Cricetulus griseus: one gene and its partners. The protein of the gene in region 3 interacts with the protein of the main gene of each other region in a biochemical or structural test. Links are inferred from orthologs where the notes say so. Each region holds a gene or a part of one and is shown on either strand. Other genes may lie near its edges.

Evidence for each region.
Region 1: the proteins of Tnks (region 3) and Tnks1bp1 form a complex in vitro, tested with the Homo sapiens proteins (2 studies listed by BioGRID). The link is inferred for Cricetulus griseus from reciprocal best matches to the Homo sapiens genes TNKS and TNKS1BP1.
Region 2: the proteins of Tnks (region 3) and Axin1 form a complex in vitro, tested with the Homo sapiens proteins (2 studies listed by BioGRID). The link is inferred for Cricetulus griseus from reciprocal best matches to the Homo sapiens genes TNKS and AXIN1.
Region 4: the proteins of Tnks (region 3) and Rnf146 form a complex in vitro, tested with the Homo sapiens proteins (3 studies listed by BioGRID and IntAct, with this or other methods). The link is inferred for Cricetulus griseus from reciprocal best matches to the Homo sapiens genes TNKS and RNF146.

What each region holds. Positions count from the first base shown.
Region 1 is NC_048599.1:90,464,998-90,468,945, reverse strand, and holds part of Tnks1bp1 (182 kDa tankyrase-1-binding protein), read left to right. Parts: intron 1-1,562; coding exon 1,563-1,932; intron 1,933-2,178; coding exon 2,179-2,329; intron 2,330-2,437; coding exon 2,438-2,574; intron 2,575-3,424; coding exon 3,425-3,582; intron 3,583-3,774; coding exon 3,775-3,835; 3' UTR 3,836-3,848; intron 3,849-3,948.
Region 2 is NC_048600.1:45,818,439-45,822,386, reverse strand, and holds part of Axin1 (axin-1), read right to left. Parts: intron 2,293-3,948; coding exon 2,185-2,292; intron 945-2,184; coding exon 777-944; intron 171-776; coding exon 44-170; 3' UTR 1-43. UniProt on the Homo sapiens protein: Component of the beta-catenin destruction complex required for regulating CTNNB1 levels through phosphorylation and ubiquitination, and modulating Wnt-signaling.
Region 3 is NW_023276807.1:50,048,244-50,052,191, reverse strand, and holds part of Tnks (poly [ADP-ribose] polymerase tankyrase-1), read right to left. Parts: intron 2,389-3,948; coding exon 2,169-2,388; intron 1,747-2,168; coding exon 1,637-1,746; intron 1-1,636.
Region 4 is NC_048595.1:247,899,733-247,904,154, reverse strand, and holds the start of Rnf146 (E3 ubiquitin-protein ligase RNF146), read left to right. Parts: upstream 1-1,314; 5' UTR 1,315-1,423; intron 1,424-2,110; exon of another isoform or gene 2,111-2,170; intron 2,171-4,422. UniProt on the Homo sapiens protein: E3 ubiquitin-protein ligase that specifically binds poly-ADP-ribosylated (PARsylated) proteins and mediates their ubiquitination and subsequent degradation. May regulate many important biological processes, such as cell survival and DNA damage response.

The DNA of each region.
Region 1 (3,948 bases), on a different chromosome or scaffold from region 3:
AGGTATGAAGATGAGATGAGAGTGGAGGCAGATGGGCTGACTCTTGGCTTATCCCAGGAAGTGTGACTATCTAGGCACATGTTCCTGAATGGGGCTTGAACCGCAGTAACTTAGAGCAGCAGTAATATGTGTGATTTCTGGGATGTCCTGAGTGCTGGGCGCTATGCTGACAGGTGACAGTCTTTATTTTTTCCTTCCCTAGTGACTCCGTAGAGAAACACAGGGTATTTACAGTGCAAGGATATAAGTACAGGCATCTATCCTAACCCAAAGATCTGAAACCCAAAATGTGAAACTCTAAAAAAATTTTCTTTGGATTTACTTATTTATTTATTTGGGTTTTTTGTTTGTTTGTTTTTCCCAAGACAAGGTTGCTCTTTGTAGTCCTGGCTGTCTTGAAACTCACAGAGATCTGTCTGCCTCTGCCTCATGAGTGTTGGGATCAAAGGCATTCGCTAAAACTGCCTAGCAGATTTACTTATCTTTTTGTTTTATGTGTATGGGTGGTTTGTTTGTGTTTTATGTGTATGGGTGGTTTGTTTGCATGTATTGCTGGGTACCATGTGCATGCAGTGTCTGTAGAAGTCAGAAGAGGGTGTTAGATTCCCTGGAACTAGAATTAGCTGTCCTGTGGGGTCTGGGAATTGAACATGGGTTCTCTGGAAGACCATTCAGTCCTCTTAGCCACTGAGTCATCTCTCCAGTTCCGTCAAATCTGAAAGTTTTTGAGCACAGCATGATATCACACAGAAATTCATATCTGGCCCCAGTGGCAGGTCACAAAGTACAGGTAAACCAAAATTACCATCAAATTACCTTAAGTCTACATGTGTAAGGTAAATATGAGACACAGAGATTTTTGTTTAGGTTTTGTTATCCACATAGCTCCTTATGGGGCTGGAGAGAGAGCTCTGTCAGTAAAGTGTTTACAGATCTGAGTTTGGTCCCTGGAACCCAATAGGAAAGCTTCATGTGGTAGTGTGCACACTTGTAATCACAGTGCTGGGGAGGCAAAGACAGAAAGGTTTCTGGGACTTCCTGGCTTGCCATCCTAGCCTGCTTGATGGAAGTTCCAGGCCAGTGAAAGATCCTATCAATAGAAAAAGGGAGCTGGGCAGGTAAAAGTGTTTACTGTCAATGTGTGACTATCCAAGTCTGATCTTTTGTAGAAGAAGAGAACTGACTCCCAGAAGTTGTCCTTGGACACACACACACACACACACACACACACACACACTGGTGTGCACATGTGTGCACTGGGAATGGTGTCTGAGGTTGTTCATTTCACTACACATACTCCTATGCATCGACACACAAATAGAGCTCATTTTTTATGCATGTGCAAATATTTCAAAACTTGGAAAGGTCTAAAATTTGAAACCGGACCCAAGCATTTAGATAAAGGACACCCAGCTTGTAGTATGTGAGAAAGCCTAGCTTGTGACCTCCCAAGCAGCCAAGCAGACTCAGCCCTTGCTTTGTGTGCTGTGTGCTTCAGGGAAGAGAAATGAGGTCTCACTGGTTGGTGAATGACTTTGATTTCTGGCCTGTCCCCTTTGCAGCCCCAGCAGGTGCTTGGCTCGCTCCCCACCTTCTGGCTCCCAGAGCCTTCTGGAAGGGATAATGACAGCCAGTAGCTCAAAGACAACTACTCCAAGGGAATCATCAGCTTCAGGCCTCAGGGTTCTGTTGGAGGAGGAAGGAACCACTGCAGGTGCTGGCCAAAGGGAGCCCGAGGAGTCTAGCAGAGACCCTTTGCCTTCCTCGAGGCCTCAGCCCGATGGTGAAGCCAGCCAGGTAGAAGAGGTGGATGGCACCTGGACTCTTCCAGGGGGAGCTAGGCAAGATGAGCAGGGGTCAGCTCTGCCCCCCCAGCGGCCTCCCAGAGGACCTCTGCCCAGCTGCCCCAGTGAGGACTTCTCCTTCATAGAGGTCAGTGGAGGGTGACTTGCGGTGGTGGATGAGCTTTTGGAGGAGTCAGGATATGTGGATGATGGGGTCAAAGCCCCATTCTCAGCGCTTTTCTGAACAGTCATGGGACACAGGCTGCGGGTGCCTCATGGCAATAAGAAACTGCAGTAGCCATCAGCTCCTCAGTGTTGAGGGGCTCCTGTGGGGTGAAGCAGGGCATGGCTCAGCAATAGTAAATGGTGTTGGTGGTTTTTTTTTTTTGAGCAGGACACTGAGATCCTTGATAGTGCTATGTATCGGAGTCGTGCCAACCTAGGGCGTAAGCGGGGACACCGGGCCCCAGCCATACGGCCTGGGGGTACCCTGGGTCTGTCAGAGACAGCAGACTCGGATACTCGGCTGTTCCAAGATTCAACAGGTATGATCAGTGTATTAATTGAATGGAGTCTGTCAATGTCTGGTTGTGGGTAAGGGTGGTTTCTGGCATATTGTTGAAGTTGTGATACCCTCCCCTTGACATTTGCAGAGCCGAGGACTTCTCGGGTGCCATCTTCAGATGAGGAGGTAGTGGAGGAGCCTCAGAGCCGCCGGACACGGATGTCCTTGGGCACCAAAGGGCTGAAAGTCAACCTCTTTCCTGGCCTGAGCCCATCAGCCTTGAAGGTACAATCTGATCATTCAATATACACAATCAGCCATCTGGCCTGCCAGCCTTGCACCCAGCATTGCTTTCTATCTGTCTGTCCTCCATCTGTTTTGTCCATCTGTCTGTCTGTCCATCCATCTACCCACCCAGCATTTCTGTCTGTCTGTCCATCTCTCTGTCCATCCACCCACCCATCTGTCCATCTATCTGTCATCCATCCGTCCATCCATCTATCCATCTGTCCCTTCTTCCATCTCTTCTTATTGTGCTAAGGAGGATTCTGGAAGGTTCCGTTTGTTCCCTGCTCAACTTTGTTCAGTGTGCCAAGTTTTTTGGAAGAAAAAACAGGATGTTCTTTCATCTCATAGCCTCCACCATATTAGTTAGGGGTTGGGGGTGGGTGGGCATGGTCCATGCCCATGAGTGTCTCTGGTGAAGAGAGATGTGTAGGTATAAATGGGGGGAGTTCAGCCATGGGCTGGGCTGTTTGGTTGAAGAAGTTATTTCCTGACTGTAGCTGGGAATGGGAGGTGGCTTGGGCAGGGTTTCTTGTAAGCCATTTCTCTTAGCCTTGAGGTTGGCACAGGAGTTGGCTCTGGGGTGGGAAGGACATTGCCTGCAGAAAGGATAGACAGGCAAAAGCATAGGTGTGGGAAGTTATCACTCTTTGTTCAGCCTAGTTTATGGAATTTTATTCCTCCAATATCTTTCTGATGTTCAAGGTATGAGGATCAGCTCTGAGGGAGGCAGACCTTTGACTTTCTATTGATAGAGGGGTTCCGGCCTGGTTCTGGGGGCTGCATCCTCTTGGTAAAGGCCTGGCCTGTGTATCTTACTGCCTGTTCATCTTTCATCTGCATCTCCCAGGCTAAGCTGCGCTCCCGGAATCGCTCAGCTGAGGAGGGGGAGGTGACAGAGAGCAAATCAAGCCAGAAGGAGTCCTCCGTCCAGCGTTCTAAGTCCTGCAAGGTCCCAGGGCTAGGGAAGCCCCTCACATTACCCCCCAAGCCAGAAAAATCCTCAGGGTAAGTCACTGAGTTCCAGGTATCCCCTGAACTTCAGGTATTATCCTGAGAGTAGGAAACCCACTTTGGAGAAGTAGAAAACTGAGGCTGTGAGAGGAAGTCGAGCTGCCTCACATTAATTAGGGGTTCCAGGCCTGCAACAGCCAGTTTCTTTAAACTTTGCTTTTGTGACCTTTGCACTCTGCCTTCCAGGTCAGAAGGATCATCGCCCAACTGGCTACAAGCCCTGAAGCTAAAGAAGAAAAAGATCTGATCAGGGGCCAAGGGTAAGGGCTTGGGTGAGAGTAGGGCCTGATGTGGAGAACTTGGGAGGCCCTGTCCTGTGCCCTCTTGTAGTCTTTAGTGTTTCTCTTTCTGTGAGGCTGG
Region 2 (3,948 bases), on a different chromosome or scaffold from region 3:
CTGCACTTTAGTGATGGTGTACCCTGGGTATGTTGCCCAGTGCTCAGTCCACTTTTTCCACCTTGCCAATGATCTTCTCTTCAAAGACAGGCAAGACTGCCTCGTCCTCCCGTACTTCTTCAAATACCACACCACAGTCAAACTCGTCACTCACTTTCTTAAAGTAGTATCTAGGGGCAGAAAATTGGAGACAGTGAGAAAAGCCAGCTCCAGCAAGGGAATGCCTGCCCTTGAACCCCAGGAATTCCTACCTCCCTGCAATGCAGGCTTGTCCCAGCCAGTGAGCTGGGATCTTGGCTGTTGCCTGTTGGGCAGTGGCCACACTTGGGGTAGAACTGGGACCACTGAAAGGGCTGAGTTAACAGTATGTTGAAAATTGCTATAAAACCCCTGGGAATCCCAATCCTGGCTTCTGGTGGGTATGGAGGTTGCTGATAGCCTTCTGAATCAGGAAGAGCAGAGGTCTTGGGTCCCCAGCTCTGCCATCCACATGGGCTGACACCAGGAGGGCTGACAGGCTCCCATGTCACTCAGGTATCAGTAACCTTACTACTGGAGTTTTTGAGCTGGCTGACAAGGAGTGAGAGAGAGGTCTGCGGCTAGAAAAGAGGGCCAGTCCTGATGCTATCCAACCCTGATGTGCCCCAAATAAGAGCAGAAAGCAGCAGCCATGGCTGAGGGAAGTAGGGTGAAGGGGAAGAGAAAAGAGCAGTGGAACAGAAAACCAAATTGCATGCTGGGCAAGTATGCCCTATGGCTGCAGCTTCTCCTCTCACCTGTAGCTCCCCTTCTTGGTTAGCAGCTCCTTGAACTGGCCCAGCGTGACAGCACGGCCCCTCACCAGGGTCCGGTAGGGGATGGGTTCCCCACAGAAATAGTAGGCCACAACAATGCTGTCACATGGGGGTGCACTCCCGCCACCTGCCTTTCTCTGTGATTTTGTCCTGGGACAGAAACAGAGTGGTAAGTAGTGGGCTCAGGCCAAGGTCACACAGAGTACCTCAAAGGTACCATCTACCAATAGAGGACAAGACATCCCAGGGTCAGCATCTCACTCAGCAATGTGGTGTTCACAGGCCCAGCCACCCACCTACCCAAAATCTGGGTGCCAGTCCTGTGTAAACCACTCACTAGAAAATAAGCTAGAGGTCTAGCTCTAAAAGAAGCACTTCACCATCCAGACCACGTAAAGTGGACACAGATACCCACAATAACCAGACCAGGCCTTCGGCTCACAAAGTCCTATCTCCAAAGTTGTAAGGGGGCTGGTCTCAAAACACTGACAAGTCCCAACCTCTCCAAACTTCCATAAGTCTTGAGGAGGGACCAATCAGAGCTGCACAGATCTGGAAAGGAAGTGTCCCTAGGACCAGGATTTCCAAAGCAGATTGGAGGCCTGAGCTGTTTCTTACTCAGGTCCTCAAAGGGCTGTGTAGCTGCTCTGAGTCTGCTCCTGTATTCCTGTACTTTTTAATCACTCCAGAAGCTTCCATAGCTGGCCTCAACCATGGCCACATGGCTGCTTTTTCTTGGCCAAGTAAAATACACGGGGCATTCTGGATGTGTAATTTTCCAGGTTTTCAGACCTTCTTCCAGCAATGGGCTTTTGAAGCTTTCTGGCGGTTAAACCTGGGGAGACCTACTTCTCCAGAACAACTGGAGGGCCATCTGCAGAGGCCCCAAGGCCCAAGGGGGATCCTCATCTTCCTGTCTTGAGTAAGAGCAGGAAGGGCATAGTCAGAAATGCCCCTGACCTAAATGTGGCTATGGCAGGCGGAGGTGCAGAGCCTAAGTCCTGGCTGTAGTCACACCATCCAGATGCTACTATAAAGTTGCCGCAAGTTCCTAGTGCTATTTCAAGGGGACTAGAAATGTGGACCTGATCCTGTGTAGAATGGTAGTGGACCCACCAGTCCCCAGAGCTAGCTCAGAAGCTCAGGAGAATAAAGATGAGATGAAAGGCAAGCTGTGATGCCTGCATGAACCACTTATAGGCCTACTGATCATGTCTACACTGAACAGGCATGATCTCCTCTATTGGGAGACATGAGAGAGAAGCCACAGCAGGCCTTTCTCCAGCCCTGATGCTTCCTAGCTCAGTGACAAAGCCTATCAAATAGGTGCTCCACTTTGGGATTTGGCCTGGGCTGGGCAGAACCAGGAGGACCCACAGGGCGCACGTACTCTGTCTCGGAGAGTTCCAAGTCCGACACGGCTGGTACCACACTCAGCACCGGTGCACATGCTGGCCTGACACAGGTGCGTCCCCGCTGCATGACTGCCTGCACATACCTAGGGAACAACCCGCATCAAAGAAGATGGGGCTCAGCCAGTGTTGTGGACAGTGTGCCCAGATAGGGTGAGCAGCAGGAACTAGCTGCCAACAACTCCCACTCACATATCATCAGAGGCCCTGCCCTAAGTGTCTAGACACAGGGTCAATGCCAGTCTGCTCTTTGGAATACACCCTGGAGAACGGCTGGTCTTGGTGCTACAGGCTCTCTTCACCTCCTGCTCAGATGACTTCTCCAGCTAGAGGTTCTTGGAGAAGGCCTTCCAAGACACCTCCCAGGAATGTGGCTCTTTCTACACAGATTCATCATGACCTCCTGAAGATGATGTGGATACTAGACATGGACAGAAGCAGTGACACTGTTTCTTGGGGAGCTGCTGCCAGCATGACAGAGCCTTTCCAAGAGAACCCTCTACCTGGGTATGCCACTATTGTCCCTAATAGTGACTTTATCTGATATAGTTTAACAGGGCCTGCCAAGGCCTGGGCCTTTCACTGCATACATCTAGACTTGCTTATAAAGTTCCAGACAAATAGACTCAATACATTCAATTTCTTCACACATGAAGATTTTGGAGGCACCAGCTAAGACGTGGTGTGTGTGTGTGTGTGTGTGGGGGCACCAGCTAAGACGTGGTGTGTGTGTGTGTGTGTGTGTTGATGGTATGGGGTGTATGTGTGTGGTGATGGTATTCTCATACCCCAAAACACAAACAAGAAGGGTTTAGCTGATGCTACAGGCCAGGAGAAAACCACAGCTGTTGCCATATGGGGTTTGCCAGGTAATGGTAGGATGAACAGATGCAACCTCTGCATCACAAGAGAATCCTAACTCCCAAAATACCCTACTCCACAAAATAATCCTGCATCCTAGGAACACTGGCTTCTGAGCACACCCTGCCCAGGCCTCTGAGGGCATCATTCCTAGAAGATCCCACATGACACCCTACTCCACTGACTCAGACCCTTGCCAGATACATGCAATGTGTCAGCACCAGAAGGAACACTTCCTGCACAGAACAGGTAGCACAAGTGTATACCATAGCTTACAACAGGTGGCAAAGTGGTCCCTTGTATTTAAGGCAGCTGTGACTTCTTTTGGAGCTCAGAGCCTGGTGTGGGTCCAGGAGACTTTAAGTGACCAGGAAGATGTCTAAGCTCCTGGGGCAATTACAGCCTGACTCTATTAGAGACCATAAGTGCAGAGTCTGCCAGTCAAGAGTTGTAGCATCCCAGGGAAAGAGGACTCTTAGAAGTGAGGTCAGACCCCAGAATGTACACAACCCAAGCTGAATAAAGGAGGTGATAGTTTCAAAGGGCAATAATGGCCTTTGTGTGACCATGGTTCCAGGGACTGGGTAAGAAACAGATCCTAAGCCCTCATGGAGACTATTACCCACTTGGGAATTCCAATAAGCCAGAATGTCCAGGCAAGTGATTCAAAGCCAAAATAAAAGGGTCAGAGAAGGCCTTTTCTGCCTCCAAGAATACTGCTTCCTAAAGAGAGGTCTTTTGAGTTTGGGCAAGGACAGAATAAGCTTGCTGAACTGTGGTGGTGAAGGAGCTGATGTTGATGTTCTTGAGGTTGAGAAGACAGGGAGAGTGGTTGGAGTTGTGGTCACTCCTATAACTGCCTGTGCTTCAGAGTTGTCTAT
Region 3 (3,948 bases):
ACATCCAAAATTATACAGTCCAAGAAAAGTTACAGTTTGCAAGTATGTGGGTGTACAAATGAGCTGTGTATTCAGTATGTATTGTTAAACACCCTATTGAATTTACAGTGTGTGTTTAGTGAAACCAGTTACATGCTTGCTAAATTGGCTGGCAAATGTCTAAAAGACCAATGAAGAGGAAGGAGTATTACCCAAGTAGAGTTGAAACACAATTCTTAGGTTTTCAATTCTTTTTAGGTAGGAACTAGGACAAACAACAGCAACTGAAAATGAGGGCTAAATGCACAAGGAAGCTGCACCGTTGTTCTGGTCTCCTGTAACAGCAAAGGACTAAGTGAGAAGCCGAGACAAGGGGCTGACTCTGCCTCAAAGTGTCCTGTAGAAAGGCAGCTGGATGAGGCTTCAGCATTCCATATGCATCATAAAATGCTGCGAGTGACAAACACAGCATAAAGACAAGGGGACTCAATTTTAAAAGACGGGAAACAGAAGAAAAATAGGGGCTACAGCTAACGCCATTTAACTTTATGTTGTCTCTACAACAATGATGGCATGAAACTTTCAAATATAATCACTGCAAAATGAGAAAGTGGAGAAAAAAAACCAATCAGCCAAATGATTTACTCATAAAATCACATGATTTGGGTAAGGAATAAATACCAATACTTTTAATTTATTAATAGCACAGAAATTAACTGCCCTTTGTATGTACAAATTAAGAAATAATACCTAACATAATATAAAGGATACTAAATTGAATAAGGTACATTATCATAAACAAAAATTCTCATGAAACTTGTAACTTTTCTTTAAGATTTTAAAACATGTATTTGTTTTTCCATTTGAGAAAATTGAGGTAGCTTTTTAAAAAATGCAGATGCAAAGCAAAGAGCAGACTGAGCTCAACCCCAGGATTTGATAATGCAGTGTAACAACAAAAAAACAAGTAGGAAAAGGAAAGCAGGGCTGTGGATACCTAGAGAGTAGGTCTGTATGAAAATGAACAGTGGGAGCCACTACATCATCTAAGAACGTGGTATACATGAACTGCTATCTGGGAATTTCATAGCCAAGAGGGAGATGTGTGACAGCAGACAAGCATGGAAACATTGTTCATGTCTGACTTATTTCTACTGAGAAGCATCAGGCCTGAGCATCTTGGTCACTGCTAGTTCTGACAATGGCATCAAGGCACTGTAGTGCCGTCCTCTTCCTGGTGAATATAGTTACATGACGGGAAAGATGGCTTTGCACATTCACTCCCTCAGTTGAACACTATTAAACTGTGTGCAAATTGCTTAACTACTTGGCTTGACACTTTTAGGATTCTAGAGATAAATGTAAGCAATTACCAAAATTTCTAAAATCTATCTGGGGTAGAGGTAAGATTTATTTATGATCCATTCCATACTAATTACTGTGTCAGGTAATATGCAAAGAGACAGAGAACTTTCAAAAGTATGGGTGTTCATCAAAAAAGAAGTTACATGGGGAGGTGCGACAAACCTTACATAGATGGTTAAAATGCACTCAACTATGCTGCTGGTTAGAAACCTGCTCCTTACCATGTAGTACATATTTAGTAAATTATTAAATGCCAGGGAAGGCTTCTAGATGTTCACTGAAACATGCTCACCCCATAAGATGCTGCATTGTGAAGTGGGATTAAGCCTCCTTTGTCCTGGGCATTAACATCAGCTCCATGCTCTAGAAGGTATTCAGCTACTTCCAGGTTATTGTAGCCTGCTATTAGAGTAAAAAGGGACATGTCAGGTCCAGAGAAATAAATACAGTTCACACACACATACAAATAAAGACCAGAAAAATTTAAGATTTTAATTTTTTTCTTTAAGGCTAATACTATCTTCATATAATTGAGTCTTTACTAAAGGGTACAACATATACCAATCTCTTTCACAGGCATTGCAGACATCAAGCATGAGTTTGGAGGTCTTAGGACAATCTGCAGTTGATTCTCAGTAGATCACGTGAAATCAGGGAATTGAACTTGAGGTGTGAAGCTTGGTGGCATGCAACTTTACTTGCTGGGCTATATCACCAATCCTCTTTCACCTTGCAAGCCAAGTGGTTAAGCACCTAGCAAACAGTTTAGCAGTGTTTAACTGAACATTAAAAAGGACAATTAGATGATGCACAGTGATGCTTACCTGCCAGGTGTAGAGGAGTTGAGTTTCTGCCCTGGGTGTCTCTGCAGTTGATATTCTCTGGAGTACAAAGCTTCTGCACTCTGGCCAGGCAGCCCTTCTTGGCAGCATCCAACAGGGCAGCATCCCCCCTCAGTAAGTCCTGAATATCTGTGTCTCCTTCTTTGACAAGATCTAGGGGTGTATTTCCATCTCTGTTCTTCTTAGTTGGATCTGCTCCATGCTATAAGACAAAAACCAAATGGTGCCTGTGTGTTTGCAAGTGGGTAGGTACCATATACATTACTTAATTTGCTATCTATACCTTCACTTATCAGGAAAGAAATCTATTCTACATGCACTTTGAAAACAGGAAACTAAATTCCACTTTATTTCGTAGCCACTTAGAAAAATGATTTAAAATCTTGCTAACTACTAAAGCCTCACGGTCAAGAGGCGATAGTGATGCTGGGAGGACACTGAGTATCTTTTGTTCTTTTGTGACAAACTTTTCCTGAGACTTTGTTATCTTTGAAAATCTCTTTTATTTTTATTTTTTGTAATGTTAATTTCAGCCAGACTCAATTGTAACACACACACACACACACACACACACACACACACACACACACACACACACACACACACACTCACACAGTTTTAGTGATAAAACTAGGACCTCACACTTGGTAGGCAAGTACCCCACCACTGAATAATAGCCCCAACTCAAATTGCATAAAAATATTTAGGCAGCATTATGAGAAAGCAAAAATGGAACACACACAGGTAGGAAAAAACAAAACAAAACACCTGAAGTCTAAATGGCATCAGTTAAAAAAAAAAAAAAACTCACAGTTTTAAAAATGTATTTCAGGGGCTGGGCGGTGGTGGCGCACACCTTTAATCCCAGCACTCGGGAGGCAGAGGCAGGTGGATCTCTGTGAGTTCGAGATCAGCCTGGACTACAAGAGCTAGTTCCAGGACAGCCTCTAAAGCCACAGAAAAACCCTGTCTCAAAAAATCAAAAAGAAAAAAAAAAATGTATTTCAGGATATATAAATGTGCTTTATAAAACTACCTTGATTTAAAATTACCTATACCCATAGGCCAAAAATTTTTATTATATCCCCAATATAGATAGTTGCTGACCTACTGTGGAAATTAAGGAACAAATTAGGTATGGTGGCACACACCTTTAATTCCAGCATTTGGGGGGCAGAGGCAGGCAGATCTCAATGAGTTCTAGGCCAGCTAGGGCTAGAGAGTGAGACTTTATCTTAAACAAACAAACCCCAATATTCAAGTTAGATAATGAATTAATAATGATGTATCAGTGATTTGCTTTTTAAACTAACTAGTGGTAATATTTGTCATATATACTTATGGTATTATTTTATCAAATAAAAATATAAATTATACTTATGTTTAACAAGAACAATTTTTCTCTGGTTAAGATGGGAAACCAGCCGGGTGGTGGTGGTGGTGCATGCCTTTAATCCCAGCACTCGGGAGGCAGAGGCAGGCAATCTCTGAGTTCGAGACCAGCCTGGTCTACAAGAGCTAGTTCCAGGACAGCCTCCAAAGCCACAGAGAAACCCTGTCTTGAAAAACCAAAACCAAAACAAAACAAAACAAAAAAGATGGGAAACCCACACAGATAGATGTCTTGTATGACATAAGTGTGTATGTGATATTTATTAAGTATGATTTAACAGTATCATTAGCTATGATGGTAGCAATAATAACCATATCACAAACAGCACCATGAGTGAAAAGGTTCCTTAGGTCATTTTTTTCTAATATT
Region 4 (4,422 bases), on a different chromosome or scaffold from region 3:
AACTTTGTAATAGTGGTATAGGAAAATGCTGCAAACAAGAGCCAAATATTTGTTCCGCCCCCACATAGTCGCCATTTACTCTTAATCCCTGTATCATCTGAATTAACATCTTTCTGACTGGAATACAACGTTGAAACCTAGCTGGCCAGTAGCTTCCTTTTTTATTCCCCGTACCCAGTGTGGTACTGGGGATTGGATCCAGATGCTCAAGCATGATAGGCAAACACCCTACCACTAGATACCTAGTTCGTTTTCAATTATAAAACCAACGTTATAGCACCGAAACCTAAACAATATGCTCTGTCACAGTCGCCCAGCTACCCGATGGACTACCCCTACCAAAATATTTGATAATACATTGACGTATAATCTTCCCTTTTTGTGGCTATACAAAGTTCATGTAATAATATTTCCTAGAACAACAGACTGAGTAGCCCGAATCCATGCTCGGGATTCAGTTACTCATGGCTGTCTCCACATGAATTCTTCCTCCTTTCCCTTAAGAGCAGAGGCTGTGCTTTGTAGCTATCATATAAGCACCCGAAACATTTACAGTCCTGGCATTGAGACAGTTAATAAACCTCAAAATGCAACATTGTTGCAAGCACAATGCAACAGTTACAGGAGGCGGAAATACTTTCAAAGGTGACGAGGCCCCGCTAATCCACCTAGTTTAACTACAACTTGAGAAAACTCACTCAGCTCTGTAAAAGACCATGTGTGGGTAAAAACGAACGACTAGATTTTGATGTTTAAAACTGTATGCTTGCCATCAAATGAATCGGCAAAACTTACTCTAGATTCTTAAGTCGATTGATTTCCTCTTCTAGCTTCCTAGGCTGTTAGGGTACAAAAGACTTGTTGAGACCCCCAACACGTCCCCTCCCCCATTAAATTTCCTAGCCATTTGTGAGTGAATAAACTGGAGCATTCCAGGGGACCATCCAGTCCACGCCGAGTCTTTGCAGATGTCTTCTTGATAAGGAACAAGCAGTTAAGGACACTTCAATTGGAAACTTAGGGCTTGGCCCAAGGGCTTCTTGGGGTCAGAAGGCTGGATTTCAGGAGAGCTCCTCTTCCTGGTCCCGGATGTCTAGCTCCCTCGCTCAGTGCTCTCTGGTGGCACCCCACAGTGTCAGAGCCAGGTGGTGATAAGGTGCACAAAGAGCATGGGAGGGATCGCGGCCAGAGAGCCGCCCCGCCGCGGGGAAGGGCAAGAGAGGTCTGCAGGCAGAGCGTGCACCGCCCGCCCGCCAGCCTCCGGCGCCGCGCGCGCGCTCGCCGTGGGGGCGTGGCTTCCGTCGGCGCGGCCCCGCCCCCTCGAGCGCCGGGCGTCACGTGGCGGCCGCGCGCGTCCCCGTCCGCTGCGGGCTCCGAAGCGGAGGAGAAGAGGCTGCGAGGTGGCTGCGGCGGCGGCCGAGAGGTGGGCACCGGCGGGACCGGTGGGGAGCGCGTGTGTCCGAGGGCTGCGGGGCCTCGGCGGGTGGCGCTGCGACCGCGCTGGCTGCGGGGCGGCGCCTGGAGTGGCGGCGAGCGGCGGCGGGTCGGGGCCGGTAGGACAGGGACGCCCTTGGCCAGCGCGGCCCGGACGGGCGCGCGGAGGGAGGCGAGCTGGCGCAGCCCGGAGCGTGACGGGCGCGGCCCCGGCCATTACTACGCAGGCCGGGCTGCGGGCAGCGCCGCGGGGCTCGGCCGGGCTGCGGGCAGCCACGGGCTGCATTCTGTCTGCCGTCTGCGGTGCTGCTGCTGCTGCTGCTGCTGTGCTGTGCTGTGCTGTGCTGTGCTGCTAGCCTGCCCAGCGCCCGGAGCCGTCCCTCCTCCTCGCGCTGGCGGAAGCCGCCGAGTGTTCTTGTTTTGATGGCTCCCAAAACCTGAAACCACCCCGAGGTGTCGGAATACGCGTCGGGGCCTCCCTACCCGGGTGCATCCGAAGATCCCCGTTTCGTTTGTCGCTTTGTTCTGGTTGCTGGGTGTGGAGTTCTCTCCCTTGCCCTCCACCCCATCTAGGAGTGCACGGGATCCTCATTGTTCTGGCTGTCTTATTTTCCTGAGCGGTGTTGTTTTTATTATTATTTTTTTCTTCTTCTTTTTTTTTTTTTTTTCTTTTAAGAGAGAAAGGCATGGTTACGTTGTTTTTGAGGATATGGAAATGGAATCGTCCTCTACTTAGGTAAGAGATTCCGGACTGTGAGTTAGCACACGCATTCTGACAGCTATATTTTGTCTTTTCTCCGGGTGCTGTTTAAGCACTTCTCAAGTTTTCAACATTTTGGGGTTTTTGTTTTGTTTTTGTTGTTTGTTTGTTTTTTAACAGTACCGAAATACTTGACAAGAACTTAGGGAAGAAGAAAGTCAAAGGAGATAGAAAAGGCTTTGTTCATTGATTGACATTTCAGGTGCTAGGGTGTGTTCACCCCCTCCCGCCGTGTGTTTGTGTGTGTGTGTGTGTGTGTGTGTGTGTGTCTGCCTTCCTTGTTTTGTAAACGGGATGTGCACCTGGAACTTGGCTATTGAAAGTTGTATATTGTCATCGAATTTGAGCATGTAGAACATTTCAGTAAATGACCTATATTAGACTTTTTAAAGGACATGGCATATTGAAAACAAATGAAGGAAATGACCCATACAAACTAGCAGCAAAGCTCCTGGGTGCTGTGAAAACACATGAAAATAGGTCACTTAAATCTCATTTTTAAAGAGAAAACTCGAGAGTGACTGCCACACTAAAGGAGTTTGGGATGTGTTTGGGTCTTGGATATGATACAGTGGAACACTTGGGTTTATGTCTCAAATGGGCCTATGTAATGTGGGCAGAATGAAAACCCTTGTGCTTAAATGTTTGAAGATTTCTGTTTTGCTGGTGAAGAACTGAGTAGAGTTGTAATCATGGGAAAACATCCCAAATAGCTGGTCATTAGATAAGAGGAATGCAAAAAAAAAAAAAAAAAATTCTTTTGGGAGACTCGTCAAGTGATAAGAGTCACTTTTGCATTGTTTTCTTTTTTGTTTTTAAAGGATTCAAGATAATTCCTTGACCTGAAAAAACATAATAGGAAGAACTTTTTCATATTCATCTGTTTACGACACATTTTCTGTTAGCCATATATGTGCTTGACGGATTTAACCAGTTGTTACTGATTCTTACAAATATTTTCCTGCAAGAATTAGAGGTAGAAGGTACTGAGTCTTTTTTCTGTCCTCTTGCCCAGTTGGGTTCTTGATAACAGAGGGAATTTGTGGAACTGTTGGCCGGATTAGAAACAGTCTTTCTGAGGATAGACACTATGTCTACACTGGTGTACAGCCTCCTTTGCTAATTTGTACTCTCTCATTCACCTTAGTTAATTAATACAAAGCCTGTTGTTAAAGGCCTCTTAATTAAAACATTTAAAATTGTAGAATCACAGAGGAGAGGGTGAAGCAACAAATACGTAGTGATGACTTGACCAAGGTCTCACATCTTAATTAATAAGAGGACTTTGTTATTTACATAATGGTTGCTGGCCATGAAACCTGATTGATGAGATTAAAGTGTCTGTTGACATTCATATTTCCTGAGTTATTGAAGTAAATGCAAAACCCACTTCGAAGGGAAGAAATTTGAAGATTTACACCTAAATATGAAGACTGTGAAGGCAGTCGGTAGTCATAGGATGATATTGTTTACATTTAACTGAAATTGAGTTTTGACAGAACACTTGTTTCCAATTCGACTTAGCCCTTTTTTTGAAAGCTGATGTGATGAAGTACAAAAGTTACATGCCTGTGAATTTGGGAATCTTTTTTAAGAAATTTCAAGATGTGTGTGTTAAATCCCACCTGACCTCTGCTCTCTTTTCCTGTGTTTATAATAGATACACATGTAGGTAAACTTGTATACAGAGGGAGGTTTGAAGTAGTACCCCATCATTGACACCTTTTTTATACAATATATCCTGTTTTGTGTATTTTGAATAAAGAGTAAACTGTTTCTTTAATTCTTTAAATAGGGAAAACAGAAAGTGTTCAAGCATATATAATTTGATATTTATGTTTTTAATTATGTTTTATATATTCTTGTTTTTCTTTTATTTTTTAAAGGTCAATATTTTATTCAAGTCGGTTATCTAGGGACAGTGGACTTTTAAAAAGTGTAAATGACTTGATAAATGGAATTGCTATTAATCCTAAATCTTTACATCAGGAATTAACAGTGTATCCAAGTAATTGCAGTTTGAATTTCTTTAGTAGTTACACTTTTTAAGTAATAAAATGTGGCTTTATTTTTAAAGTTTTTAAAAATTAACTGGGTTAATTGATAAAGATCTAAGTTCATTACTAATCTGTAATCCTCTTTATAAATACAGTCTACTACTTTTTACTCCACAATTGCTAAGGACCAAATAACCTTGTTTTCATGTTACTTTCTTAATTTGTGTTGAG